Macaca mulatta: one gene and its partners. The protein of the gene in region 1 purifies or fractionates together with the protein of each later gene. This does not show direct contact. Links are inferred from orthologs where the notes say so. Each region holds a gene or a part of one and is shown on either strand. Other genes may lie near its edges. The genes, in order: SQSTM1, SPRED2, LRRK2, RIPK1, TRIB3, VIM and VDAC1.

What was found.
Region 2: the proteins of SQSTM1 (region 1) and SPRED2 purify together in Homo sapiens (affinity purification with western blotting; 3 studies listed by BioGRID). This does not show direct contact. The link is inferred for Macaca mulatta from reciprocal best matches to the Homo sapiens genes SQSTM1 and SPRED2.
Region 3: the proteins of SQSTM1 (region 1) and LRRK2 purify together in Homo sapiens (affinity purification with western blotting; 3 studies listed by BioGRID and IntAct, with this or other methods). This does not show direct contact. The link is inferred for Macaca mulatta from reciprocal best matches to the Homo sapiens genes SQSTM1 and LRRK2.
Region 4: the proteins of SQSTM1 (region 1) and RIPK1 purify together in Homo sapiens (affinity purification with western blotting; 3 studies listed by BioGRID and IntAct, with this or other methods). This does not show direct contact. The link is inferred for Macaca mulatta from reciprocal best matches to the Homo sapiens genes SQSTM1 and RIPK1.
Region 5: the proteins of SQSTM1 (region 1) and TRIB3 purify together in Homo sapiens (affinity purification with western blotting; 3 studies listed by BioGRID). This does not show direct contact. The link is inferred for Macaca mulatta from reciprocal best matches to the Homo sapiens genes SQSTM1 and TRIB3.
Region 6: the proteins of SQSTM1 (region 1) and VIM purify together in Homo sapiens (affinity purification with western blotting; 3 studies listed by BioGRID and IntAct, with this or other methods). This does not show direct contact. The link is inferred for Macaca mulatta from reciprocal best matches to the Homo sapiens genes SQSTM1 and VIM.
Region 7: the proteins of SQSTM1 (region 1) and VDAC1 purify together in Homo sapiens (affinity purification with mass spectrometry; 3 studies listed by BioGRID, with this or other methods). This does not show direct contact. The link is inferred for Macaca mulatta from reciprocal best matches to the Homo sapiens genes SQSTM1 and VDAC1.

Annotation. Positions count from the first base shown.
Region 1 is NC_133411.1:188,804,057-188,808,051, reverse strand, and holds the start of SQSTM1 (sequestosome-1), read right to left. Parts: upstream 2,801-3,995; 5' UTR 2,704-2,800; intron 2,121-2,703; coding exon of another isoform or gene 1,625-2,120; exon of another isoform or gene 1,348-1,624; intron 1,259-1,347; exon of another isoform or gene 1,021-1,258; intron 1-1,020. Other genes in the region: MGAT4B (alpha-1,3-mannosyl-glycoprotein 4-beta-N-acetylglucosaminyltransferase B), read left to right, coding at 1,625-2,120. UniProt on the Homo sapiens protein: Molecular adapter required for selective macroautophagy (aggrephagy) by acting as a bridge between polyubiquitinated proteins and autophagosomes.
Region 2 is NC_133418.1:59,261,233-59,265,177, reverse strand, and holds the start of SPRED2 (sprouty-related, EVH1 domain-containing protein 2), read right to left. Parts: upstream 2,801-3,945; 5' UTR 2,425-2,800; coding exon 2,399-2,424; intron 1-2,398. UniProt on the Homo sapiens protein: Negatively regulates Ras signaling pathways and downstream activation of MAP kinases. Recruits and translocates NF1 to the cell membrane, thereby enabling NF1-dependent hydrolysis of active GTP-bound Ras to inactive GDP-bound Ras.
Region 3 is NC_133416.1:47,244,711-47,247,359, reverse strand, and holds part of LRRK2 (leucine-rich repeat serine/threonine-protein kinase 2), read right to left. Parts: intron 2,258-2,649; coding exon 2,045-2,257; intron 116-2,044; coding exon 48-115; intron 1-47. UniProt on the Homo sapiens protein: Serine/threonine-protein kinase which phosphorylates a broad range of proteins involved in multiple processes such as neuronal plasticity, innate immunity, autophagy, and vesicle trafficking.
Region 4 is NC_133409.1:180,157,785-180,161,284, reverse strand, and holds part of RIPK1 (receptor-interacting serine/threonine-protein kinase 1), read left to right. Parts: intron 1-282; coding exon 283-852; intron 853-3,500. UniProt on the Homo sapiens protein: Serine-threonine kinase which is a key regulator of TNF-mediated apoptosis, necroptosis and inflammatory pathways.
Region 5 is NC_133415.1:83,776,392-83,780,418, forward strand, and holds the start of TRIB3 (tribbles homolog 3), read right to left. Parts: upstream 2,801-4,027; 5' UTR 2,468-2,800; intron 1-2,467. UniProt on the Homo sapiens protein: Inactive protein kinase which acts as a regulator of the integrated stress response (ISR), a process for adaptation to various stress. Inhibits the transcriptional activity of DDIT3/CHOP and is involved in DDIT3/CHOP-dependent cell death during ER stress.
Region 6 is NC_133414.1:18,791,409-18,794,274, reverse strand, and holds part of VIM (vimentin), read right to left. Parts: intron 1,528-2,866; coding exon 1,432-1,527; intron 1,345-1,431; coding exon 1,183-1,344; intron 431-1,182; coding exon 305-430; intron 1-304. UniProt on the Homo sapiens protein: Vimentins are class-III intermediate filaments found in various non-epithelial cells, especially mesenchymal cells. Vimentin is attached to the nucleus, endoplasmic reticulum, and mitochondria, either laterally or terminally.
Region 7 is NC_133411.1:142,905,587-142,909,721, reverse strand, and holds the start of VDAC1 (non-selective voltage-gated ion channel VDAC1), read left to right. Parts: upstream 1-1,335; 5' UTR 1,336-1,398; intron 1,399-4,135. UniProt on the Homo sapiens protein: Non-selective voltage-gated ion channel that mediates the transport of anions and cations through the mitochondrion outer membrane and plasma membrane.

The DNA of each region.
Region 1 (3,995 bases):
AAGCCATTATCCTTTGCCACACATAGAAGACACCTGTGAAAACACGAGTTTCCTCTAGAAGGCGCCTACAAGTCCCAGTCTCTAGTTCGGAATGTTCCAGGAGCACTGAATGGGGAGCCCTGTCCTTTAACACTGGGCCTCAGGATCCAGCCCACCTCGGCCTCTGGCTCGGCCACCCACTTCTTGGCATCAATCTCTCTGTGGGAGAATTGTCCAGACCCGTAGAAGCTCCCGATTCCACCCAGCCCCAGGTGTGGGCCGGGGCTGGACTAGGAAGACAAAGCTGCATTCACTCCCAGTCTGAGTCCAGCCCCTCAGGCCTCCCCCGAGCGGGCGGGGCAGAGGTCCCTGCAGCCTCCACCCGGAACCGGGCCCCTAGGACTGGGAGGTCCAAGCTGGGAGCGGGCCAGGCGCTGCCCAAAGTCTTAAAAAAAAAAAAAAAGAAAGAAAAAAAATTAGCCGGGCGCCTGTAATCCCGGCTACTCCGGAGGCTGAGATCGCAGTGAGCCGAGATCGCGCCATTGCACTCCAGCCTGGGCGACAGAGCGAGACTCTGTCTCAAAAAAAAAAACCCACAAAAATCCGAAGGCGTGGGCCCCTATCAAGAGCCGGCTGGGCTGCGCGGGGCGAGGTGGCCGCTGCACCACCGGGAGCAGGGCCCGTTGCTCCCGTAAGCGGCGCGCTTGGGCCGCCACTGTCCCGGGAAGCCGGTCCGGTTCTGGGCTGGTCATTCCTCTGCACCCACGAGCATTGGCCCTGATTCCCCCTAGAACGGCCCATTGTTCCCGCCTCCCGGGCCCCTGTGCGTCTCAGTCCCGCGCCCCAGAGGAAGCTCCTGAGCGGGAAAGCGCCCTGGGCGGCGCCGAAGGCAACGGTGGCTCCCGGCTCCAAGCGCCCAGTCCCCTCCAAGCGCCCAGTCCCCCGCGCCACCCAGAGCCCCTCACGCTCGGGAAACAGCCCAGAGAACGTGCGAGTGGGGTCGGGGTCCGCGCGCGGAGGAGATGTTGCCGAGAAGAGTACCTGGGCCCGAGAGCGCCGCCCCCGCCGCCCGCGCCGGCTGCGGTCGACCCGCACTCCCACTCCGGCCTTACCTAAGGCCGACTCGCACGAGCCCAAGCGGGGCTGCGGGAGCCGGTCGGGATCACGGGCGCCGGCCCCCACCCCGCCCCTCGCGGCGCTGGCGGCGGCGGTGCTGCGGCCCCTTTAAATCCGGGCCGCCCCGCCCTGCGCCGTCGACTCCGCGGCGGCCCCAGATCCAGGCCCCAGATCCAGGCCGGGCCGCGGCTCTCGCCGCCCAGCCCAGCCCAGCCCGGCCTGGCCCGGCCCTGCCGCGGAGGCGAGGCCGCCAGTGTCCCGCGCCCCTGATACCTGCAGTGAGCCTGATATCTGCCTCTGCTCCTCTGAGCCTGTTCCTTTTCCCTGAGTACAGGGCACAAAGCTTGCGCCCTGAGAAGCGGCAGGCGCGCTCCCCGGCCCGGTCCCTGCCCGGCCCCGGCCCCCCCGCCCCTCCCCGCCCCGGGGCCGGGGCCCCTGCAGCCGCCGCCTTCCGACCCCTGCGCCCCGGCCCCGGTTCCCCGGGCCATGCAGCCTCGGCCCCGCGGGCGCCCGCCGCGCATCGGAGGAGATGAGGCTCCGCAATGGCACCTTCCTGACGCTGCTGCTCTTCTGCCTGTGCGCCTTCCTCTCGCTGTCCTGGTACGCGGCACTCAGCGGCCAGAAAGGTAAGCGCGACCCCCGCCCGACCGGCCCGGCCCGCACCTGGCGCACCTGGGCGTCGGCGGCGGGAGCGGGCCCGGCGGTGGCCGCGGGAGGCGGCCGGAAGCCGACGCAGGCGCCCCTTCCCCGCCCGGGCGGCGCGGAGGACGCCCCTCCCACCCTCCCCCACTTGTTTGCTGCTGGAGCCGCGGCGTCCTCCTCGGGCCCGGGCTGCGCCTGCCCGCCCAGCGCTGGCCGCGCCCGTGGGTGCCCCGGACCGGACTCCGCGGGCGCAGCTGAGCTGGGGACCCGTGGGGGTCTCGGCACAGACCCAAGGTCACAGAGGTCCCGGAACGCCAGCCACAGCCACTTGGGCAGGACCTGGGCCGGCGTGAGGGACACAGGCGCGAGGGCACCGCTAGGCGGTCAGGCATCCCCCCACCCGCCCTCCCCCGACCCTGCCTCCCGCAGCCCCGCGCCGGCCTGGGCGACCCCGGCGTGACACCCGGTCCTGGGTCTCCCTCGCCGACCCCCGGGCGCCCGGAACGCCTCGGCAGCATCCGGCCTATGGGAGCGGGGGAGGGAGGGAGAGGCGTCCTGAGCCAGCCCGGCCACTGCTGCCCTGCGCTCCTGTGCGGCCCCAGCCCCTCCCCCGCACCCCGAGCTTCCCGGGCTGGCCCCCGCCCTCCGCGTCCGCCCAGCGCTCTTGCAGGCGGAGGGTGCAGACCGACCCCCCGCCCCCCGCCCCCCTGACCGGTCTTGGCGATGGTGGGGCCGAGTAGGGCCTGAGCCCTCCGAGGCGCTCTTCCCCTAGCCTGGAGGTTCTGGGAGAGTGGCCTCCTGCCTGCCTGCCTGCTGGAGGCCTAAGCGGGCTGAGGCTACCTGCCCCCTTGGCCTCCCTGCCACCTGCTTCCCTGTTTCCCTGTCCCGGAGCGCCACCCCAGAGAGGCTGAGGAGGCTGGGAGGACCTGGACCCTTCCGGACCTTCCGAGCCTCAGCTACCCTCACCGAGCTCTGCCAGCGCGCCCGCCTGCCGCACTTGTTCTGTCAGAGCAGAGGCCTGGGCTGGCCTTGGGGCTCCAGGGCCAGAGCCCCATCACCCAGGGACTCTGCGGGGAGACTGCAGGACAGGGGAGGGAGGGCTGGGGCAGAGGCCCCGGTGGTGGCGTATATTATCAAGGGCAGGCATGACTGGGGCAGAATTATCTGTAGGTAGGGTGTGTCACCTGGGGAAGGACATTCTGGGTCCTTGGCAGGGTGACTAGCAGACTGGCATGAAGGCCTAGGTGGGGCCTTATCTGAAGGGCTGGGGCACACTCTTCCAGTCGTGGGTAGAGCCATGAGCCCTTGCCCTTTGTCCTCAGCCAGTGTGTGTCTCCCACAGCAGCCACATGCCGCCAGATTGATGTCAGGAGCCACCTCTGCAAGCCTGGCTTACCACAGGGAGCCAGTCTCCGGGACAGCAGAGTGAGGGAGAGGCGCTGGCTCCGTGGGGGCATCCGGGAGGCTGGCTCTTTGAGGGCCTGGGGAACAGGAGAGCTAAGAAGGGGAGCGCTTAGATTCAAGGACCCAGCCCCTAGGGGAGGGAAGCCTAAGGATCCTGTGAGGCATGAGTAGGGGGTGACCTAGGCCTGCCTTGTTGAGGGGCTGTCACTGTTTCTGTGGTGACTCAGTGAAGCTAGGAATCCAGGCTATTATGTGAACCCATCTCATTGTCACATGTAGAAAGTCTGTCTTAAGCCCCTGGCGAAACCAGGCTTAGCCAGTCTGAGGCCAAATTGGAACCTGGCCTCCACTTTGCAGCCAGCGGGGGTCCAGGAACTTGAGGGAAGAACCCAGGAAGTGGAATCTGCAGAGAAGGAAGGAGATGGGCAGGGAACCAGAGAGGAAGGACAGCAGGTGCGGGCGTCATCCTGGAAGCCCAAGGTCAAGCCCAGGACGGCCTCTTTAGACTAATGCAAAATGGACCCTGGAGAAGGGTTTGGGGCCCAGTTTCATATCTGGCCTGTGGAGCAGCTCTGCCAGCACTCAAACTGTGGCCTTCAGCCAAGCACCTGCTGAGGATCTGCCCAGGGAGGCAGACCCTTGCGGGTGGCCCAGGGTCTCAGCCACACAGCTCTCCCAGCCTCCAGGCTGTCCTCCTCCCCAGGCCTGGACCTCAGCAATGACAGACACCCTCCTTGACTCCTGGGAGGGTGCAGGGTCTGGAGAGGAGACAGACATCTGCCGCACACATGCATGGTGACAGCAGACTGTTAACGGCCTGATACCTGCCCATGCCCCTCTGATCCTGTTCCTTT
Region 2 (3,945 bases), on another chromosome or scaffold:
GAGAGAAACCTTACTGTCACTAACACTTAAAAGGAATTTTTCAGATGCGTCATTACACAGGTACGTTGAACATAATAATAGACGGTAGCTACCATGGCAGTTTACAGCCCACGAAGTCGCTTTCTTCTCAGGCATGTAAAGTCTCGTGCCAAGGTCATCACATTAAAAATAACCCCTATAGCCCATTTCTTCAGTGGCTAAGATGCCAAGGCTTTCTCAGCCTCTAAGTGAAACTACAACTCCTCAAATATCTATCCTCTCAACTGGACTTGTGACAGCAGTGGAGGCTGCAGCTTCATGCTGAACTTGCTCTGAGAGCCTAAAATGGAACTATTCTTTCCTCGCTGGTGATCCCACTCGAAATCCTTCTGCTTTGGATAGCAGATGGAGAAAGATGCAAGGCTGACAAGCTGCCACAAAAAGGGCCAGGTCAGGCCTGTATTCCCAAGGAGTGGAGCCAAGGTAGAGCGGTCAAACCTCTCCAAGAATCTGCAAGGCCAGAGCACAGCAACCAACCTCACTGCCACTGCTGCTACTCTGTGTGCAGGTACAATCGAGGGCCCATAAAAATACTGATTTATTGGCCACGTTCACAAGGCAGCAAGGCCCAGAAGCATAATCCTTCTCTATATTTCAGCGCTAAAAGCGCAACTTTTTTTTCATTTTACCATTTTAAGATGCTATATACGAAGACAAAGCAAAACGTCTGAAATAGAAACACCAGCAGATGTGGTGGGACATCTGCGACAGGCACACCAGCAGGGATCCTCTCCTGTGACGGGTGTCTGGAAGATCAGGGGTTACTGCAGTCAAAGTTCCCTGGGGACTCACAGGAAGGAAATTGAAATTCCTTTCCCCAAACAGCAGCCCCATTCCCGCCCAGACTGGCAACAGCAGACGCCAAAGGATAAAGGGGGTATATTTAATAAAGTGAGTAGATTTCTTAGAGTAGAGCACAACACTGTCACCTGCTGCAAGAGACAAGCCTCCCTGTCGCCCAGCCCTGAGTCACTTCCCCTCCCAGCACTCTTGAGGCCCAATGCCTGCGGGGGGCAAAAGACCTGGGGCCTCTGGAGCACGCCTCCCGCAGCCCGCACTCCACTGCTAAGACGCGCGCGGGGCCTCCCTCCAGGGCGCGTCCCCGCGGCTGCCAACCGGCTCTTTGAGCCCAAGCCCGCGCCGCCACTACCTTGGCTAATGGCAGCACTGAATGAAAGGAACCGATGCAGACTCCGGATTTATGAATGTGCAGGGGAGGAGGGGAGGGATATCATGTGACAATAAAGGAGAGCGTCTTATTCACAAAAAAAAAAAAAAAAAAAAAAGTGGCTGGTGGCGGGCACAGCCACTGAGCAGCAGCGGCGGCCGCCGCGCGATGACCGCTCGGACCCCAGGCAGAAGACCTGAGGTGTCGGGCCCCGCGGCCCCGCCCCCGTCGCACCCGAAACAGAAAACGCCTCGGACCAGGAAGAGAAAATGCCAAACTGGACCCCTGGACCGCGAGGCAGGAGGCAGCTGCACCTCCGCCCCGGGCTGGCGACAGTCACGGGTCCCGCGCGGGGCTGCCCGGGATCCCTCCGGCGGAGCGCCCCAAGCATTGTTCCCCTCGGGCCTGCGGGCCGGGCACAAGCCCGTGCACGCGCACCCGCGAGGACACACACACACACTCGCCCCCAGAGCGCTGCCCCGCACGCCCCCGCCGCACTCGCCTAGGTCCGCCCCGAGGCGCCTGACCCCGCAGGACGCGTGTGCCGACCACAAGCGCGTGCACAGGCACTCACGCACCGCGGGGCCCCTCGGGCGGCTCCAGCACGCCGGCCCGCGCGGGGACCCTGGCGCACCAGACCCCAGCGCAGCCCGCGCCCGTCCTCCTCTCGCTCCGCCGTGTTTTTTATGAATGAAAATGTGGTATGCAAATGAGAGCGATTCAAGAAAACGAAATGGCGGAGCCTAGGCCCCAGTGGGCTCAGGAGCGGACTGCGGGGCTCGCGGCGCGGCGGGAGTCACAAAGTCACTGTGCAAAAACCCACCGGCCCCGGGAAGCCGGAGTGGGGGTGTCAGGTCTTCCGCTCCAGCCGCCGAGGATTTCGGGGGCGGGGGGGTGCTGTGAGTCCTCGGAGAGGGAGCGGGGACCGCCCGGAGGTCACCCGCACGCCCTTGGCCCCCGGGGCGGCCACCAGCCCGCCGACCCTAGGCGTGCGCCCGCCAGCCCGCAGCAGTTTTTGCCCCCTCCTCACTTCAACAAGCAGGGAAGCCTCGCGTCCCAACCCCGACAGGTCAGCGAGTCGCTGCACCCCACGCCAAGTTCACCCAATAAGCGTCCCCGCCCGCATCCTCAGCCCCGGCCCCCACGCTGCCCCCGCGGGGCACCCTCGTCCCACCCCGCGACCAAACTTACTCGTCCGGGTGTGTTTCTTCGGTCATTTTCTTGTTCACCTAGACGCCTGTCCCGCGGCGGGCAGCTTTGCTCCCTTCATCTTCCTGTCCGCTCGCCCCCCTTCTTCACATCTCCGGAGATCGCCTGATTTGGGGAGGGGGGGCGGCTAGAGATGGGGGCGCCGCAGCAGAAGGGGAAGCAGGGAGCGGGGTGAGGTTTGGGGGAAGGGGTGCAAAGGCAGGCTGCAAGGGGAGTGAACGCCGCAGCGCCGTGGGGAGAGGCGGGCGGAGGCTCCGGGGGCTCGGGAGCGGGCAAAGGGGGCGAGATTTGGGAAGGGGACGGCGGTGGGGGAGAGCAGGAGAAAAACAAGCGCGCCTTGGAGCGGCGGGGACTGCTGCGAGGAGGAGGAGAGCGCCGGCCGCGGGTGGGGGGACTCGGTCCGGGGTCGCCCCCGGGGGGCCGGGCCAATCACGGTTCCGGGGAGCGGTCGGCGGCCGGGGGAGGTGCGCCTGGGAGGCAGTGCAGGGCGCCCCGTCCGAGCCCCATCTCTCGACTCCACCGATTTACTCCATATTGGATTCTCACCGCCGCCAACAGGAGGAGGAAGTAGGGCGGAAGCGATGACGTCTTCCCAGCGGCCAGAGGTGGTGGAGTGCAAAAAGCTTCCTACTTGCGACCGAAAAAAACGGGAGAAAAAAAAAAAAAAAACTTTGTCCCGCCTACTGAGCACGCCCGGCTTCCTCTCCCCCTCCCTCCTGGCTTCCACTCCCGGGGGAGCCGCGGAGCCGAGTTGTTTGCTTTCGCCGCGACCGTCTGGCTCCGAATCCTCCTTGATTAGGGCTCCGGGTTTTAGGAAGCCCGAGAGGAGAGAGGAGGCGGGAGCGGAGGACTCTTACACATCTGGCTCCCGTTTTTGCCCCCTCCCTCCTTCCAAACCCCAAGATTAAAAATCGGGGGGTTGGGCGGGGGCGGAGATGCGAAACTCAAGGGAGGGGAGGGAGTGAAACAGCTGAAGAGGTGCTCAGGCTCAGAGGAACAACTACCCCCACCGCAGGGTGGGAAGGTAGGGGCGGCGCAGGTGCCAGGGGCTGGCTTCTCTAACCCAACCCAACCAGAAAGGAGAGGGGGTTCGACTTTACCAAGGTTCTGAAAGGCAGAGGCTTTTCCGTTTCACGTGAATCTTGTGATTTTTTTTCCTTTTTTGTCTCAATAGAGGAACGGATTTTTGTTTTGTTTTGAGATGGAGTCTCGCTCTGTCCCCAGCCCAGGCTGGAGTGCAGTGGCGCGATCTAGGCTCACTGCAACCTCCACCTCCTGGGTTCAAGTGATTCTCCTGCCTCAGCCTCCCAAGTAGCTGCGACTACAGGCGCGCGCCACCACGCCCAGCTAATTTTTGTAGTTTTAGTAGAGACGGGGTTTCACCGTGTTGGCCAGGATGGTCTCAATTTCTTGACCTCGTGATTCGCCCGCCTCGGCCTCCCAAAGTGCTGGGATTACAGGCATGGGCCACCGCGCCCGGCCAAGGAACGGATGTTTTTAAGAATCATTACTCGTGCAAAGCCCAGCAC
Region 3 (2,649 bases), on another chromosome or scaffold:
TTCATGTCATTGCACTGTTTGGAATACAGTATCCTTTTAAATGTTACCTTTCTGCTGTTGTGTACCTTCAGTACTTTTCCGGTTATAGCCCAATACCAGCATGACATTTTTAAGGCTCCCTTTACAAAAACAAAATATGGAAGTTTTCCGTTAAAACTATATATTAAGCTGGTCTGAAAAAAATTAAAGTTGTTCATAGTCTAAGACACAAATACCTTGGAACTGAATTCACAGTTCTATTTTCTAGGTGACCCTTAAATTATATTGAATAAAGGCCAGCATTAAAAAAAAGTAACAGAATCTGTGATCCACTCCTTGCTGCAACTCTTAATTATGTGAGAGAAAACAGCTTAACCTTTCTATAAAATAGGCTTAGTATTTATACATTACCCTCCCCAAAGTTACAATGTTAAATGAGGTAATGTGTGTGAAAAGTTCTTTGGATATGGTAAGGTACAAATATGAGTATTTAGATGGACACTTAGATGGATGGATATACTGATGTCAAAATATCATATTTTCTTCTCAAATCATTCACTAATTTATTCAACAAATTTGCATCAAAAGTCTTCTATGTAAGTCCTAGGCTAGATCCTGGGAATAAAGGGGTAAACCAAAACACACTAACCCAACCTGCTTGGTGTTTATATTCTAGTGAAGAGACTAGTATTAATGAAAAAAAATATATATGACTATGATCACAACTATGCAAGAAAGCTGTTATGGGAACCCAAAGTGGGAACTTTGACCTAATCAGTGTTTGCTTCTCAGAGGTTTTGACACAGGAGCTAACATTTCAAAGCGTATGAGTTAACTAAGCATAACAAAATTACTTTAAGCAAAGAAATAAACAGCATGTGCAAATCCCTGAGGCAAAATATAGCACAGTAATTAAGAAGAACTGGATGTTCATCTAGACGAGGAAGATCTGGTAGGAATGTGGTAGATGATGGAGGCAGGAGAGGTACAGTGAAGCCAGCTCACGCAGCACCTTGTAGGCTATGTTCAAATTGATCTTTATTTTAAAATCAAACTGTAACCCATTGAAATTCCACTATAACTTCAGTTATAAGCAAGCTATCCGGGTCCCAAAGTACATACAATTCAACTAGAGAATGCAACAACTTTGGTAGAATAAGACTACGGAGACAACCCATTGAGATACCTACTGTTCTGCTTGTGTGGACATGTATCTTAATAGTTCACAGTCATTAAGAGCATCTAATTCTAACTCCTTCTGTGCAACTCTAACGTCTATAAATGAAAAATAGGTGAAGGTGCTAGAGAAACACATGTTCCTCTTTCACACATACTTGTAATGAATCTATTTTCTTCACCACGTTCAAAACATTCATTAATTATTTGCTAAAGTTACATAAATTCTAGTTTTTTCCGGAATTAAACCCCATAGTGTTGTTTTTGTAAACTTTTGTATATGTGCTTTTATTGTTATTTTCTAAATCAAATTATTATCAAAGGAAGACACAAATATATTTATGCAGAAAATATATTTTATGTGCTATCACGATTTCATCATATTTAAATAGAAAAATAGAAGCAAAAAAAGACAAAGTTTCAGTAAAACATGATTTGTCAATATTTGTAGGTTGTGTGGTTCAGCATGTATTGCTGCAAGAATAAAGATTTGTTATAGAATGAAAAACTAAATGAGATTCTTTAACAAGCGTGGGAGGCTAGACTATGATTAAAATAAACATTTTCTTTATTTTCTTTGCTCAAAAAGTGAAATATATTCAACACTATGTATTTCCCATTTTTGCCTTAGGTAAAAAGGAAAAAAGCAAGTAAGACCCAAACTGAGTGTTCAGCTGCAGTAATCTGCTTCTCTTATGGGACTGAGAGCATTTACTCCCACCATTTCTGTAATGACCCTATTCACAATTTACACCAGTCTTATGTTTCATTGTGTGAACCTCCAAGACCATCCAAATGACACTGGAAAGTGCAGAGAAAAAGTAAATGTAAAATAAAGGCATATTTTATAAGACTTAGAGAATATGAAAAATATCTAAAGGAAAGAAACTTGCCTAGCTGTGCTGTCATCATGACTCTGACCGAATCACAAAAGTTGTAAATTATACGTATAACTCGACGAGTTGAAAGATCCAGGAGTAAAATATGGCCTCCTCCAGTTCCTATCCAAAGAGCAGTGTTCTTCTGAAGGCAGAGAGCTTTCACTCTCCCAGAATAAGACATTTTGTGTTTTGATTCCTTGTTTACTTTTACCATTACCTCCCTAGAACCATAAAGTATACATTAATAATTTTACCACCAGCTAAGACATAAATGCTATTTATATATGAAAACATAAATAACATTTTAAATTATGAAAACATGACACCACACATTATGCATCATTAAAATTATACAAAGCAAATTTTGCTAAACACAGAATGCCAAAGAGCCACATTTCTTTACTTGAAGCATAAATTATCAAAGACAACAATAGCCCTTCATTTTCAGGAAATTATGAATAAGAAGGATACAATTTTTATAAATACCAAAGCTATCTAATTCAGTAAAAATAGCATGCATGTGCCCAGGATAAAGAAAAAAAAAGTTAGACTCAAAAGCTTTACATGATGTCTCAGTGTTACAAAGGAACATAAAATTATAGTCATTCACATG
Region 4 (3,500 bases), on another chromosome or scaffold:
TTCTCTGCTCCAAACCAAGTCCCTTTTTTCCTTGATCATCCCTGCAACAGCCGCTCTTCTCTTGCTTGCTATAATTTTCCTAGTACTCTCTCACTGCCAGTGAGGAGCTCCTATTATTTGTAAAGCTTGTGGGAAGAGGACCATCTCCTAAATGCTTCGGACTGGTCTCTTACTTATTTTCTGTGCGTCCCTCTGAGATACAGATTCATGATGGCGCTCAGATTTTATTTTACGTTTTAATGTTTCACGAACCCCATTCTAATGTTGATCATTTCTTCTCAGCCACAGAACAGCCTGGTTCACTGCACAGTTCCCAGGGACTTGGGATGGGTCCTGTGGAGGAGTCCTGGTTTGCCCCCTCCCTGGAGCACCAGCAAGAAGAGAATGAGCCCAGTCTGCAGAGTAAACTCCAAGAGGAAGCAAACTACCATCTCTATGGCAGCCGCATGGACAGGCAGATGAAACAGCAGCCCAGACAGAATGTGGCTTACAACAGAGAGGAGGAAAGGAGACGAAGGGTCTCCCATGACCCTTTTGCACAGCAAAGACCTTATGAGAATTTTCAGAATACAGAGGTAAAAGGCACCGCTTATTCTAGTGCAGCCAGTCATGGTAATGCAGTGCCCCAGCCCTCAGGGCTTAGCAGCCAACCTCAAGTGCCATATCGGAACAATGTTTTATATAGCTCACATGGCTTTGGAACAAGACCGCTGGATCCAGGAACAGCAGGTCCCAGAGTTTGGTATGGGCCAATTCCAAGTCCTATGTCTAGTCTGTATAAAATCCCGGTGCCTGAGACCAACTATTTAGGAAACACACCCACGATGCCATTCACCTCCTTGCCACTAACAGGTAAATGGGTCTTTGATAGTCACAACCTTGTCTTTTTTTATTTTTCAGAAAGTAAAGCAACCAACCAGCTCTATTGTAGATTGTGGGTTGTGATGGGGACAGAGGGTATCGTCCACGGCCAGATGCAAGTTGCCGCTGTGGAATGGACTCCGCCAGGCCACTTGGTCTGGGAGTGTTTCATCTGGGGCTAGGATTCATCACACATGTCCACAAGCATCAGGAGGTGCTTGTGACTGGCAGGCGCCTTTGACTCTAATGTGGAGTGCATAGTAGTCCTATTTCACCCAATCTCTGATCAATGGGAAGTTATCTGCTTATTTGCTTTTACCTTGCTTGCTGTTTTTTGAAGATAAGAAATCAGTTTTGGATATTTTTGTTTCTTACCTTATATAGCTCAAAGACTACCATTAGTGATGAAAAACTTTTTTTTAACTCCCATATATCTATCAGGTGAAGTAAAAGGTACGTGATAGTAGTTACTGGCAGTCTAGAATGGAAGTGATTTAATGTAATATCCAGCATTTTTATCAAATAATACTCACCAACATCACCTTAACCACCTGAACGGCATCTACCAGTGATACCCACAAGTGTCCTGGAGATCCTGAAATCAACTCAGGTACAGGAAGCTTTGAGAACCACAGAGCTTAGTTACAATTTCTTTCAAAACGCCAAATTCTCCAAAAACATCCTTTGAAAACATCCTCGATTTTTTCCATAGGTTTTATTATTAAGATCTGTAGAATGCAAAATACTGGATTAGACATTAAGCAGTATCCAAGTCATGTATAATCCTATGAGCAGAATATCCTTTTGTTTCCTTCATGTCTGGGGATAAAATTTTTCATTAGTATTGCCATATCATTTTATTCATTCATGATTAAGTCAATAAAAATTTCAGCTGGGGCCATGGTTGGCCAGGCATGGTGGCTCATGCCTGTAATGCCAGCACTTTGGGAGGCCGAGGTGGGTGGATCATTTGAGGCCAGAAATTTGAGACCAGCCTGGCTAACATGGTGACACCCTGTCTCTACTAAATAATACAGAAATTGGCCAGGCGTGGTGGTGCATGCCTGTAGCCCCAGCTACTAGGGAGGGTGAGGCAGGAAAATCACTTGAACCCTGGAGACAGACGTTACAGTGAGCTGAGATATGCCACTGCACTCCAGCCTGGGAAACAGAGTGAGATTGTGTCTCAGGGAAAAAAAAAAAAATTCTGTAATCCCAGCACTTTGGGAGGCTGAGGCAGGCAGATCACGAGGTGAGGAGATTGAGACTATCCTGGCTAACACAGTGAAACCCCATCTCTACTAAAAATACAAAAAAAAACAAAAAAACAAAAAAAATAGCTGGGCATAGTGGCACGCGCCTGTAATCCCAGCTACTCGGGAGGGTGAGGCAGGAGAATCACTTGAACCTGGGAGGCAGAAGTTGCAGTGAGCCGAGATCGCATCACTGCACTCCAGCCTGGGTGACAGAGCGAGACTCCATCTCAAATAAAGAAAAGAAAAAAGAAAAAAAAAAATCCAAAGCACTTCCCACTTTGTGCCATGCAGTTCTCCAGGCACTGGAGCTATAACTGAGCCAACAGCCTGAGTGAGTCCCTTCCCTCATATAGTTTAAATCCTAGTAGACAGAAGGCAGACCCTAAACCAATATTTAATGTGTAATTTTTTATCTTCTTTCTACATGAGCAACCCAAATACACTAGTTTAGTGCCAAAATCGCTTTCTGTTTTCACTCTTGCTGTGGTTCCTGATTCTGCCAGTGACAGATGTACAGGCATCCAGCTTCTTCAGGATTCTGAGATGCTTTCAGGGGGGAGGGGGCACTTGGATCTATAATAAATAATAGAATTTTCTGTGTTTCTGCTCCCAAAGATGATCCTGCTAAGTACTGAGCTAGTAAATGAACACGCTGAGTTTCTCCTTGCAAATTTAAATAAGTCTTTTGCTTGCTTTTGTTATCAAAATGTCCTAACTCTGTACCAAAATGTGAGTTTTCTAATTTGCCATACCATAGAAGAAGGGTGTGTGTATCCAGTAAGTACAAAAGGAAAATAAAAGTCTTCGTCTCAGTGAAAGAGCTCCTAGACCCACTGTTTCTATTCACTGTGCTGTTTGAAGTGAGGTTAGAAAAGGGAAGCTCACTGGGCTAGGGGTCAGGAGACCCAAGTCGAGTCCTGCGTGTGCCAGTCACTGCAGTGGGTGACTTTGGGAAAGTCGTTTGCCTTTCCAGAGTTCATTCTCCTCAATTATCAATGAAAATGTTACGAGTGAAAATTTATACATTGTAAGCTCTAGTGTGTTTCTAATATTGCATTCGTTGCTCCGTTTCATAACTTTCATGGCTTTTCCAGTGGCCAGATTTGGGCAGAAAGCACTGATTCAAGAAAACAAATCTCCAAGTAGAGAGGTGCAGGGTAGACCTCCATGTAAGCCCATGGTGAACGCAGACTGTGAGTGACAAACACAGTGTCAGTACAAGCTGGAGGTGGTGGGCCAGGAGGATTCAACAGGGTAAGGCAGCTTAGCACTGTGCCTGCCGATGCACAGAATAAGTGCTCAGTAAATGGTAGCTGCTGTTATTAGCACTGTTATTATCACTGTTAACAAGAACACCTAGACAGCCTTGAGTGCTGGAAGGTA
Region 5 (4,027 bases), on another chromosome or scaffold:
GGGAATCACTTGACCCCAGAAGGTAAAGACTTCAGTGAGCCATGGTTAGGCACTCTAGCCTGGGTGACAAAGTGAGAATGTCTCAAAAAGACAAACAAACAAAAAAAATGAAGTGTGTGAGTTTTGATTCAGCAATTAATCCCATTGCTAGAATGTATCCTGTAGAAGTGTGCTTGTGTAAGCATGCAAATACAAAGTTATCCTGCAGCCCTTGTGACAGAAATAATTTGCTGTCTATAATTACAGGGCTAGTTACATAAATTATACTTCATCCACACAACGGAAAAATTTGCAGCCATTTAAAAGGTTGAGGACGCTGTTTATAGCCTAATCGAAAGGATCTCCAGAGTGAACTGTTAAATGAAAAGAAAGCCACCATCCACGCAGCTGTGTGACTGTGTGTGGGGTGGCTGAAGGAGAGGGCAGTAGGGCATGTCAGGGCAGGAAGGTTCTCTCTAGAACCCATCTGCCCACCCACTTAAACTCCATTCCAAGGATGTGCATGCCCAGGTCTGAGCACTGGTGCGAGAGGGACCTCAGCCTGGTGAAAGACCTTCCCAACAGTTCAAGGCAGGATGAACAGGGAAACATGAGTCAGTTACCAGACAGAGGCCCACCTCTCCAAGTACGCGGCTCCTAAACGGAAGAGCTGCCTTGGAAGGGAAGGTCTCCCCACATGAGTGAAAGGTCATGACTTTGGCTTGGTAAGAACGCAGTAAGGAGTGGCTTAGTCAGATATTCCTGGGTTCTAATCCTGTCTCAGACCCTTTCTAGCTGGGGGGTACCCCTGGTCAAGTTCCTCAAGCTTTCTGAGCCTCAGTTCCTGTAAAGTGGGAACAGGATGCAAAGTTTACAGGTTTTTAGTGATGATGAAATGAAAAAACAAATGAAGCACGTAGAGCTTATAGACCTGTTGCAGGGTAGGTGTCAGGAAATGGTCACTATTAGCACTCATCCTGTTGTTCTTCACAGCAAGATGCTTAAGTACCATCCTTGGGAGTCTTAGAAAGCTCCCCAGGTTCGAGGCTGGGATGACAGAACAGTCTCAAGGCTGTTCTGAGTCCCGCAGGATGCTACCTGGCCGTGCACATGCTTTGTGCCCTGTGCAGCAGGAGACTGCCTGAAGTCCCTCTGGCCTGTGCCACATCAGTACTCCAGGCTGCCTTGGCCCCAGTCATCCCTCAGAGCCTGTTGGGGCCTGGGATAAGCTCCACCCAGATGGGGACAGATGGGGTAACTGAGTCTATAAATCTTGGGCAAGGCATTTTGCAGACCACACTGCAGAATAGAATCTGTGCTGTGGAATGAAAGCAGCCCCTAATATCTACCTCTTGCTGTTTCCTGCCATACTCGAGACCCAGGGAAATGAGGGCGGGTTACATCAAGCGTGCGCGCGCTCACAGGTGTACACACACCCCTGAGACACTGTCTAAGCCAGCCAGCGACAACACATCCAGGGAAGACAGACATTAAGTGACACACCCTTGCCCTCCACGGGTAAGCGTTAGCGCGCACACACACACACACAGCCCTCCCAGCTATCACACCCATGGTCTACACAAGCAAGGCCGGCCCCACCACCCCCCGCCCCGCCCCCCGCAGCCAGGCCCCCTTCAGCGGGAGCGAAAGCGAAAGGCGGCGGTGTCCCAGTCAGAAGTTTCAGCGGAAATTGAAGGGCGGCCCTGGGACAGGAGGGGGTGAGGCAGAGGGAAAGAGGTGGCTGTCGTCCCCCGCCCTCCCCGGTCTGCAGGCACAGCACACACCGCAAACACACGCGCACCTTCCACCTGCAAACCCGGAGCCACGCAGCGGGAAAAACCAGCGGCGCTGCCCGGCCGGGGATCCCGCGCTGCGACTTCGCTCCCACTCGTTCGGCTCCCGCACCACTCGCTCAGTTCGCTCCCAGGGCACCCCACCCAGCCCTCTCCCGGCCGTGTCCCCTGCACCTCCAACCCCTGCCACCAAGTGCCCAGCCCTCCAGACAGTTCTCACCATCCCCGGAGGCACAGGTCCCCGGGACCCACCCTCACCCAGAACTCTCTCCTACGGGTTCCCGAGGACCCCCGCAGATCCCCCGCAGATCCTCCGACACCCCCATAAAGAGTCCTCCAGTGCCCCCCACAAGCCCCTCACCTCACCACACGACTCCCCTGTCCCACACTCACGCAAAACAGACCCTCGCACACCCTCCTCTAGGGGTGACAGCCGGACACCTCCGTCCCTGGCTTCCCCAGCCAAACTCGGGCGACCCCACGCCCTGCGGGGCCGCGTCACCTGAAGCCCGGGGGGAGCACTAGGCCCAGGGTGTCCCCCGACGGCAGAGTCTGTTAAAAGGGGTGTTGTGTGTGTGCGCGCGTAACACGCAGCAACACGCAGAGGCGCAGAGCCTCCCGGCGCCCCTTCCCCGGCCGCCCGCTCCAATCCCCCAGGCTCCGGGCAAGTCCACAGTCCGCACCCCGCCGAGTACCTTGTCCTGCCGTCCCGCGTGGGTCCTGGCGCCGCCGGTGCTCAGAGCCTCTAGGGTACCAGCAGGTGGGCCGGCCCGCTTCGCTGCTGCCGAGCTCGGGATCCCGGTCCAGCTCCAGCCCGGCCCGGGTCCTAACAGCGGACGTGTGCGGAGCCGCCCCCACTTCCGCTGCGAGTCTCGTGCGCTCCCGGCTCCCAGCCTGGGTGATGTAAACCTGAGCTAATCAGCCGCCGTCTGATGCCCTCAGGCCCAGGATTGCACCATCCCCGCGCCCCGCCTCTCCGGGTCGCCGCCAGGGCGCGCTCCGCCAGGGCCTCTCTCCTCCGCTGCACCTGGGGACCCCGCCCTTGTTGGCCCACTAGGGTTGTCTGGTCTCAGTGCAGACACCAGCCACGGACTCTCCCTATCACCTTGGAAAAAAACATTTGCTTTTCTGAGCCTTACTTTCCCCACCTATGAAATGGGAAGAACATTCCTCCTTCTCGGGATGGTGCTCAAAAGAGCAAACAGTGACTGTTGTCCGGGTGCTTCCCCTTTTGTAAAGCACATTACCAGCACCGCCTTATAAAACCTTTAGGAGAAGTGGACATCTGGCAATCTCCATTCTCCCCCTTCTACTGAGAGCCAGCCTGAGGCCCAGCTGTGGGCAAGTGGTCCAGAAGCTTCAGGAAGGCCTATGGACCTAAGAGCTGACTCTGGGCTCAAAAGAACCACTGTGGCACCCTGGGGAGGCCTAAGGTCTGGTGAGCTTCCCCGCGTTCCTTTGCTAGAGGCAGTGCGGCCTAGTGGCGAAGAGCCCCTAGAGCCAGCTGGCCTAAGAGTGCACTCCACCTTCCCCTCCAACCCACAGTGCTACCCCAGAAAAGCTACCTAAAACCCTGCCTCAATTTCCTTTTCAATAAAATGGGCTCATAATTGTGCTCACTTCATAAAGTTATTGTGAGGATTAAATAATGTAATATGTGTAAGACGCTTAGAACAGTGTGTGGCACATTTCGGATGCTCAATGGAGTGTAGACAATGGAGACAGAGAGGGAAAGAGGCCTTTAATATGCTTGCACCCTAGGCCTGGGAGGGCTTGGTGCTACTTCCTTTGGGGTGAAACATCCCTCTGCGTCCCAGGGGTCCAGCACCTTTCTTAGAAATCCCTTTTGATCTGAATTCACTAGTGTCAAAATATAACTCCTCAGCTGGGCGAGCTGGCTCATGTCTGTAATCCTAGCACTTTGAGAGGCCAAGACGGGAGGATTGCTTGAGGCCAGGAGTTTAAGAACAGCCTGGGCGACGTAGTAAGTCCCTGTCTTTACAAAGAGAAAAAAATAGTGGGCATGGTGGTGTGAGCTTGCGGTCCCAGCTACTTGGTAAGCTGAGGTAGGAGGATCACTTGAGCCCAGGAGTTCAGGTTACAGTGAAACATGATTGTGCCACTGCACTCCAGCTTGGGTGACAGAGTGAGATCCTGTGTCATAAATAAATAAATAAATAAATAACTCCTCTAGAGGCCAGACGTGGTGGCTCACGCCTGTAATACCAGCACTTTGGGAGGCTGAGGCAGGTGGA
Region 6 (2,866 bases), on another chromosome or scaffold:
AGCTGTTCCCAGAAACATTTACAGACCTTCTGCAATAATTTCCATTAGTGGCAAATGGCGACCACTATAATTTTTGGTGGAGAATACAAGTACCAAGTCCTTCATATGAGAAGCAATGATATATGCAAGCTAAAACCTTCAAGAGCTCCATCAAGTCCATTTTGAGTCTGTCTTGATAATTCATTTTCTTTGCATTAAGGTATAAATTTTTACTCACTTAGCATTTTGTTCAGGTTATCACCATGAGCTTAGTCAACAGAATGAGTCGTTATTTTCCCTCTTTTACTGCAGGGTTGGTACTCACGGTTCCTTTAAGGGCATCCACTTCACAGGTGAGGGATTGCACCTGTCTCCGGTATTCATTGGACTCCTGCTTTGCCTGGCGTAGGGCGTCATTGTTCCGGTTGGCAGCCTCGGAGAGGTCAGCAAACTGTTAGGAAGAAAACAGAAATGTAGATTGCTCACATTCAAGTCTTTTGATTCTCTTAGAAAAAAAATCGTATTTCTCACTGAATGTCTTCCAGTATAGGTTTAAATTTCTGTTTTGAAAGTCAGGGAAAGAGCAGTGGAGTACTGACATTAATATTTTCAAAGTTCACTCTACTATGCTCATTTCAACACAGTGGACGTCAAAGGTATGGCATTGGGGTTTACTTGGAGGCAAGGTTAGGGAAAAGGGAGTCTGCTATTCTGAACGAGGTGATGTGGCCAGGTGTGGTGGCTCACACCTGTAATCCCAACATTTTGGGAGGCTAAGGCGGGTGGATCACCTGAGGTCAGAAGTTTGAGAGCAGCCTGATCAACATGGTGAAACCCCATCTCTACTAAAAAGACAAAAATTAGCCAGACATGGTGGTGCTTGCCTGTGGTCCCAGCTACTTAGGAGGCTGAGACAGGAGAACCACTTGAACTTGGGAGGCGGAGGCTGCCGTGTGCCAAGATGATGCCACTGCGCTTCAGCCTGGGCAGTAGAGCAAGACTCTGTCTCATAAATATACATATATATATATAAAGGAGGTGATGTGAGTGGTGGGAAGGCCGTGGCGACAAACACAATGTGAGCAAGAAGTCAAAGCCAGCTTTGCATTGGAGCTAGAGGATATTTAGGAATCGCACACAGGTATGGGGTATTGAGAACACAATGCTTTTCTTTTGTTCAAGCCACACTGATTTGTTTCCTACCTTGGACTTGTACCATTCTTCTGCCTCCTGCAGGTTCTTGGCAGCCACACTTTCATATTGCTGACGTACGTCACGCAGGGCAGCCGTGAGGTCAGGCTTGGAAACATCCACATCGATCTGGACATGCTGTTCCTGAATCTGAGCCTGCAGCTCCTGGATTTCCTGCAAAAAGAACAGACAGACGGTCAGCTGTGCCAGCCGTGGGGGCTGCCTTACCCTCATTCATTCCCCAAAAGTCACTCCACTAACCTCTTCATGGAGTTTCTTCAAAAAGGCAATCTCTTCTTGCAAAGATTCCACTTTGCGTTCAAGGTCAAGACGTGCCAGAGACGCATTGTCAACATCCTATTTTGAACAGAGAAAAGACAGGACATGGAGGATGTAAAAGTCTATGGCTTATCTCATTTATTTGTCTTAGATTAACCATCTGAACCTAGTCTCCTTACTATAGAAAAGGTGTTGACACATTTTATGACCCTTGAATAGGTTTATAAATCATTCAGTGCTATAATATGCTGTGCTTTCTCCTGCTCACTAATATATTTTAATTGTGACCCCTTGTGTTTTACTCAAGGTGGTGATCGGACAATTTTAAAATAAATAAACGTCCACACACATGGTAAACTGCACTCAATCATGACTGAATCCACATTTTACCAGTGACATTTTAAAATTACTTTTTAAGGCTGGTCATGGTGGCTCTTGCTTGTAATTCCAGCACTTTGGGAGGCCGAGGCGGGTGGATCACTTGAGGTCAGGAGTTTGAGACCAGCCTAGCCAACATGGCGAAACCCCATCTCTACTGAAAATACAAAAATTAGCTGGGTGGGTGGCACACACCTGTAGTCCCAGCTACTTGAGAGGTTGAGGCAGGATAATTTCTTCAACCCTAGGAGGCAGAGGTTGTAGTGAGCTGACATAGCGCCACTGCACTCCAGCCTGGGCAACAGAGTGACACTCTGTCTCAAAAAAGAAAGTAATTCCTTTAATTTAATTACCTTTTAAATCTAGAAAATCTATGCCACAACATTGTTAAGATTTGTTTTGTAATTTCATGGAATAACATGATGATAGAGGTGGACATATTTTCATAACTTCATGTACACTTGAGTACATGGAGAACAGAAACTTGTGCTTCAAGAGTTTTAGCTTTTTTTCCCCACTCAAATCTTTTGAAACTTATCCTTAGGCTCCAAAGCAAATATGCAATCATGTGGCATCCATTGTACAAGGCTAGATTTATATTCAATAATAACCCAATTCAGGATATGCTGCCAAAGATTCAGTTCAGGAAAAATTGGAAAAGAAATGTAACTCTGAACTGTATTTTCTCTGCTTTCTCTGATGGATTTTTCTTCTAAAACTCCTTTGACTCATCCTACAAAGGCGTGTCTTTTTCGCTTGCCACTGTATCCGTTCAGTTGGCCTGTTTCAGAATGACTGGTCAAACTTGCAGAGAATGAAACTACATGAAGGATTTTTGCTGATTCAGCTGTCCTTCTATGTTTCCATTTGTAAAGCTCAACATTCCAATTCAGAACATGTAATCTTGCAACTAAGATTTTATTTCCTCTCAAAAGGATGCGTGAGGATTGTTTATCTTGTCAGCAATTATATTTGGAGTTCAGTTTATAGCCTTATGGTCTTAAACTGTTGAGACTTTTCTATCACCTTAGTGGAAAAA
Region 7 (4,135 bases), about 46 Mb from region 1:
CCACTGAAACAACTTTTCTAACTCAAGTCGCCACGTTCACATTTAATCTGCCGTCTCTTTCCAGCAGCCAGTCCTGATTGCCTCCTCCGCAGCCCCAGTTGCCTACTGCTTTAGCTAGTGTCGCTGCTGGCTGTGAGGAGTGTCCTGATTCTGTAACCCGGCACCTCCTCCACAGGGCCCTAGACGCCTGAAGCATTCGAGGACGTTTGTTGATCAAAGGCGAAGGGTGTGCAGAAGCTTCGTCCATCTACGAATTAATTCTCGAAACCCGCTTCAAGTGGGCCTCGCGCGGAACACAGGGAACACTCAGTGGTGAACGAGACCACTCGCTTAGGCCTAGCAAGGAGAAGGTGACCGTTCACTCAACACATACTAACTGGGTCCCACAGGAGCACAGGCCCCGGCTGGTCGCGTGTTCCCCGCGGTGCCCTCAGCCGGCCGGCCGGCCAGAACCGGCGTGATTTCCTCGCGCCGAGAGACCCAGCAGGAGCCTCGCAAAACCCAATTCACGTTTTATTTTATTATTTTGCCTCTCGAATGCATGGAAATTGGCTGTTAGTAGCTTTGCTACAGGAGAAAATCGCTAATCTGCGGTGCAAAATCGGCACACAGGGGTTTTCTCCGCGATTGTCTAGACGCCATGCGGGCGGGTCGGAGGCGCCAGACACATTGTATCCGGAGCGCGGAGCTCTGGAGCAACAGTCGCCGCTGCTACTCAGTATCTGCGCCGCTCCCAGCGCCCAGTGTCCGCGCTGGGCCTGAGACTGACCTCGGGGGATGGGGCCCACCCGGGCTTTGATGGGGGGCCGGGGGTCACTTCGTCCACCCAGGCAAGGCTCGAGTCCAGCGCCGGCCACATCAACTCCCGGGGGATCTAGCAGCGCGGAGGCCGACCAGGAGGCCCAGAAGCCCCGCGCGTCTTCCATTAGCGCAGGGACCTCGGGGCCACCGCTCAGAGAATCAGAAGGCCTCCTCCCCCTTCCCGAGCGCTGCCACTGGGGCCGAGGTTTCCAGCAAGAACCCGCGTGTCCCTGCGCACGCACACACGGTGCACACGTCAATACCGCGCCTCCCCGTGCCCGGGCTCACGCAGGTCCTCCCGCGCGTCCGCAACGCGCCCGCAGGCTACCGTGTCTGCTGCCGGGGCCGCGGGGCCCGGAAGGGTAAGAACGCGACTCGCGAGCTGGACGAGGACCCCGGCCCGGCCCGGACGCTTTCCCGGGCGGGGCCTGGGGGCGGAGCGCGCCGGACCCGGCGCGCGAGAGGGGAGGCGGGTCCGCGCCGCCGCCGTCCGCGCCGCCCCGCCCTTGGCCCCGCCGCTTGCTCGGCTCCGCTCCCTGCGTCCGCGCCGCAGCCCCCGCCGTAGCCGCCTCCGAGCCCGCCGCCACCGCCTCTGAGGTAGGCGCAGCGGAAAAGGACCCTGGCTCCCTTGCGCCCTGGACGGCGGGGGCCGGGCCCCTGGGGAACTGAGAGGGAGGCGCTGAGGGAGGAGCGGGCGAGGGGCCTCGGGAGTCCGGCCCCGGGGAGGGAGCCCGAGCGGCTGGCGCGGGCCTGGCTGGTTAGCTGGCGGGCAGAGAAGGCCGCGCAGGCGGGCGCCGAACGGGTCCGGGCTGGGGACCGCGAGGCCGGGGGTCCGGAGACGCTTGCGGCTGGCGGCGAGAGGCGTCCCGAGCTTGCGGGCGGAAGGGCAAGGGCGGCCGCGTGGAGGCCCGGCGGGCCGCGCGTCTAGGTGACCTTCCCCGGCGGCGCCCTCTGGCCCTGGATCCCACCAGCGTGGATCCGGCGGGGACCCGTTCGCCGCCCACGCTCGCTGGACCAGGCCAGCAGGCTGGTGCCGGCCACGCTGCCGCCGCGGGGATGAGCTCACGTGACGACCGTGGCCCCGCGTCCCCAGGCCCACGCGTCGTGGCCGGCCCACGCCCGCAGAAGCTGGCGCCCGGCACCGCCCGCCTGTGCCAGAGCCTTCTAGGGCGGAACCCGCCGGCCGAGAGTCGACTTAGGCCGTAGAGGCCGGAGCTCGGGCCTGGGCTGGAGGTTTGGCCTAGGAAAAGGAGGCCCCACGGGGAAGGATGTGGCCTTCTTGGCCTTAGGAGTGATTCCTGGTTCGGTCGTTCATTCATTTGCCAAACGCGGAGGTGCATTTGGGAGCCTGACGTTGGATCAGAGGCCGGCAGTCCTAGTCATTTGTACAAGGTCACACAGCTGGGAAGATCGCAGACCTTCGTTTTCTCATCTGTAGGATGGGAGCAATTATACCTCTCCTTCGTTGAGTTTTGGGGAAGAATAAAATGAATTAATTAACATGAAACCTTTAGAACAGTGCCGGTATGGAGAAGGGCTAAGTAGAAACCCTGACACCCTTGGGGCTTTTTGGGTGAATCCAGCCCATCCCCTGCAGACCATTTTGCTACACGTGGCGTTGTGGAAAGGGTTCAATAAATGTAGCTCCTGTTTTTAAGCATTTTTGCACTATTATTGACAAGCATTTGTATACCAGGTATTGAGTAACTTTCACGTTAATTTATGAAAAGTGTTGTAAGTTTACAGATGGACATTGTCAAGCTCGAGCAGTAAGTTTGCATGTGGAGACCTTGATTGCAGGAGCAGACCCTGTTTTAGAGGCCTGATCGGTCCGGGGTCCCTGTCCCCTTGACTAGCCTCTCCTCTCCTGGGGAGATAAGGGAAAGGGCTCCTCTGTTGCCTAAACTTCTCCACTGAGGCAGGGGAAGACCAGGGCAGACTACCGAGGGCCTGCCTGCATTCTGCCCACCCCAGCTCTGGACCGACTCAGCTCTTAAGGGTCAGACTGAGGCACTGAGGCCCTGTGCTACTTTGTCTTCAGTGCCTGGCGTGATGCTGTTTGGCACACAGTAGGTGCTTGAGAAGGGTCTGTGGGGGTAAATGCACTCTTGTATCAGAATCCACCCACCTTTATTGACAGAGTTTTACTATTTCAGTACATGGTACATAGTGGGTGCTTATTAGGTATTTGTGGAATTTTTGAATGGGCATGTGAAGGGCTGCAGGCCCAGACCATAGTCCTTTGATCCTAAACGTTTTTTCTTTTTCTTTTTTTTGAGACAGGGTCTTGCTCTGTTGCCAGAGTGCAGTGGCACCATATTGGCTCATGGCAGCTTCTATCTCCTGGGCTCAATCAATCCTCCCACCACAGCCTCCCAGAGTATCTGGGATCCCAGGCACACACTACCACGCCTGTCTAATTTTTGTATTTTTAGTAGAGTGGGGTTTCACCATGTTGGCCAGGCTGATCTCAAACTCCTGGCCTCAAGCAATCCACCCACCTCAGCCTCCCAAAGTGCTGGGATTACAGGTGTGAGCCACCATGCCCGGTCCTGGACATCGTTTTGAGGGACACACACATCTCACTTGTGGAAAACAGCCTCACCTAGAAGAGAGTCACAGATATTTAAAGAACTGTAACAGACTGTATAGTCTCTTGAAATAAGTGCTTTAAACACATTGTCTTCATTCTCTGGTTTTCCAAGTCCCGAGGGAAACTTGTTGAACTGGTGTTTCTGGGCTTGCAGGGCGGGTGACGTGGGTGATTGGGATTCTACAGAAGGTGTTGGGTCTGTTACCCCTTCCCTCGTGGTGGGTGGATGGACAGCTTATGCTGGGGTTGTCCAGAGTAGGGTGCCTGCCTCTGGGTAGTGGGGACTACTCATTGTTGATGATTTAGTTTTATTTCTGCTATTCTAGAGTGGGGCTGTAGGCAGGGGTTATTTGTAGCATAGAAAGTGGGAGACCATACAGGGATGAAGTGCCTGTGGGCCCCTGGCCTTGCTGAACACTAGGCGAGTGTGGACAGTGAACATGTTGGGGTGGTGAAGGGCCTCCACCCTCCACCCTTACCAGGAAGATGCTCCTGAAGCACTGAAGTCCACTTCGCCCTGATGGAATTTCCCATGGTGCAGTGTCTTCAGTGGTAGTGACAGAGAGGCGCATGTATGGCTGAGGACCAGCCCAAGCCTGGAGGCAGCACCTCCCAGTGCTCCAAGATTCTGTAGTCTGCGGCTTTGGGTTTTCCATGGACTCCTGTGGTAGCCACTGAGAAAAGGTGACCAGTGGGCTTCTCAGCTGGGTCTGGGCACATTTCTCCATTTTACCGCGTACT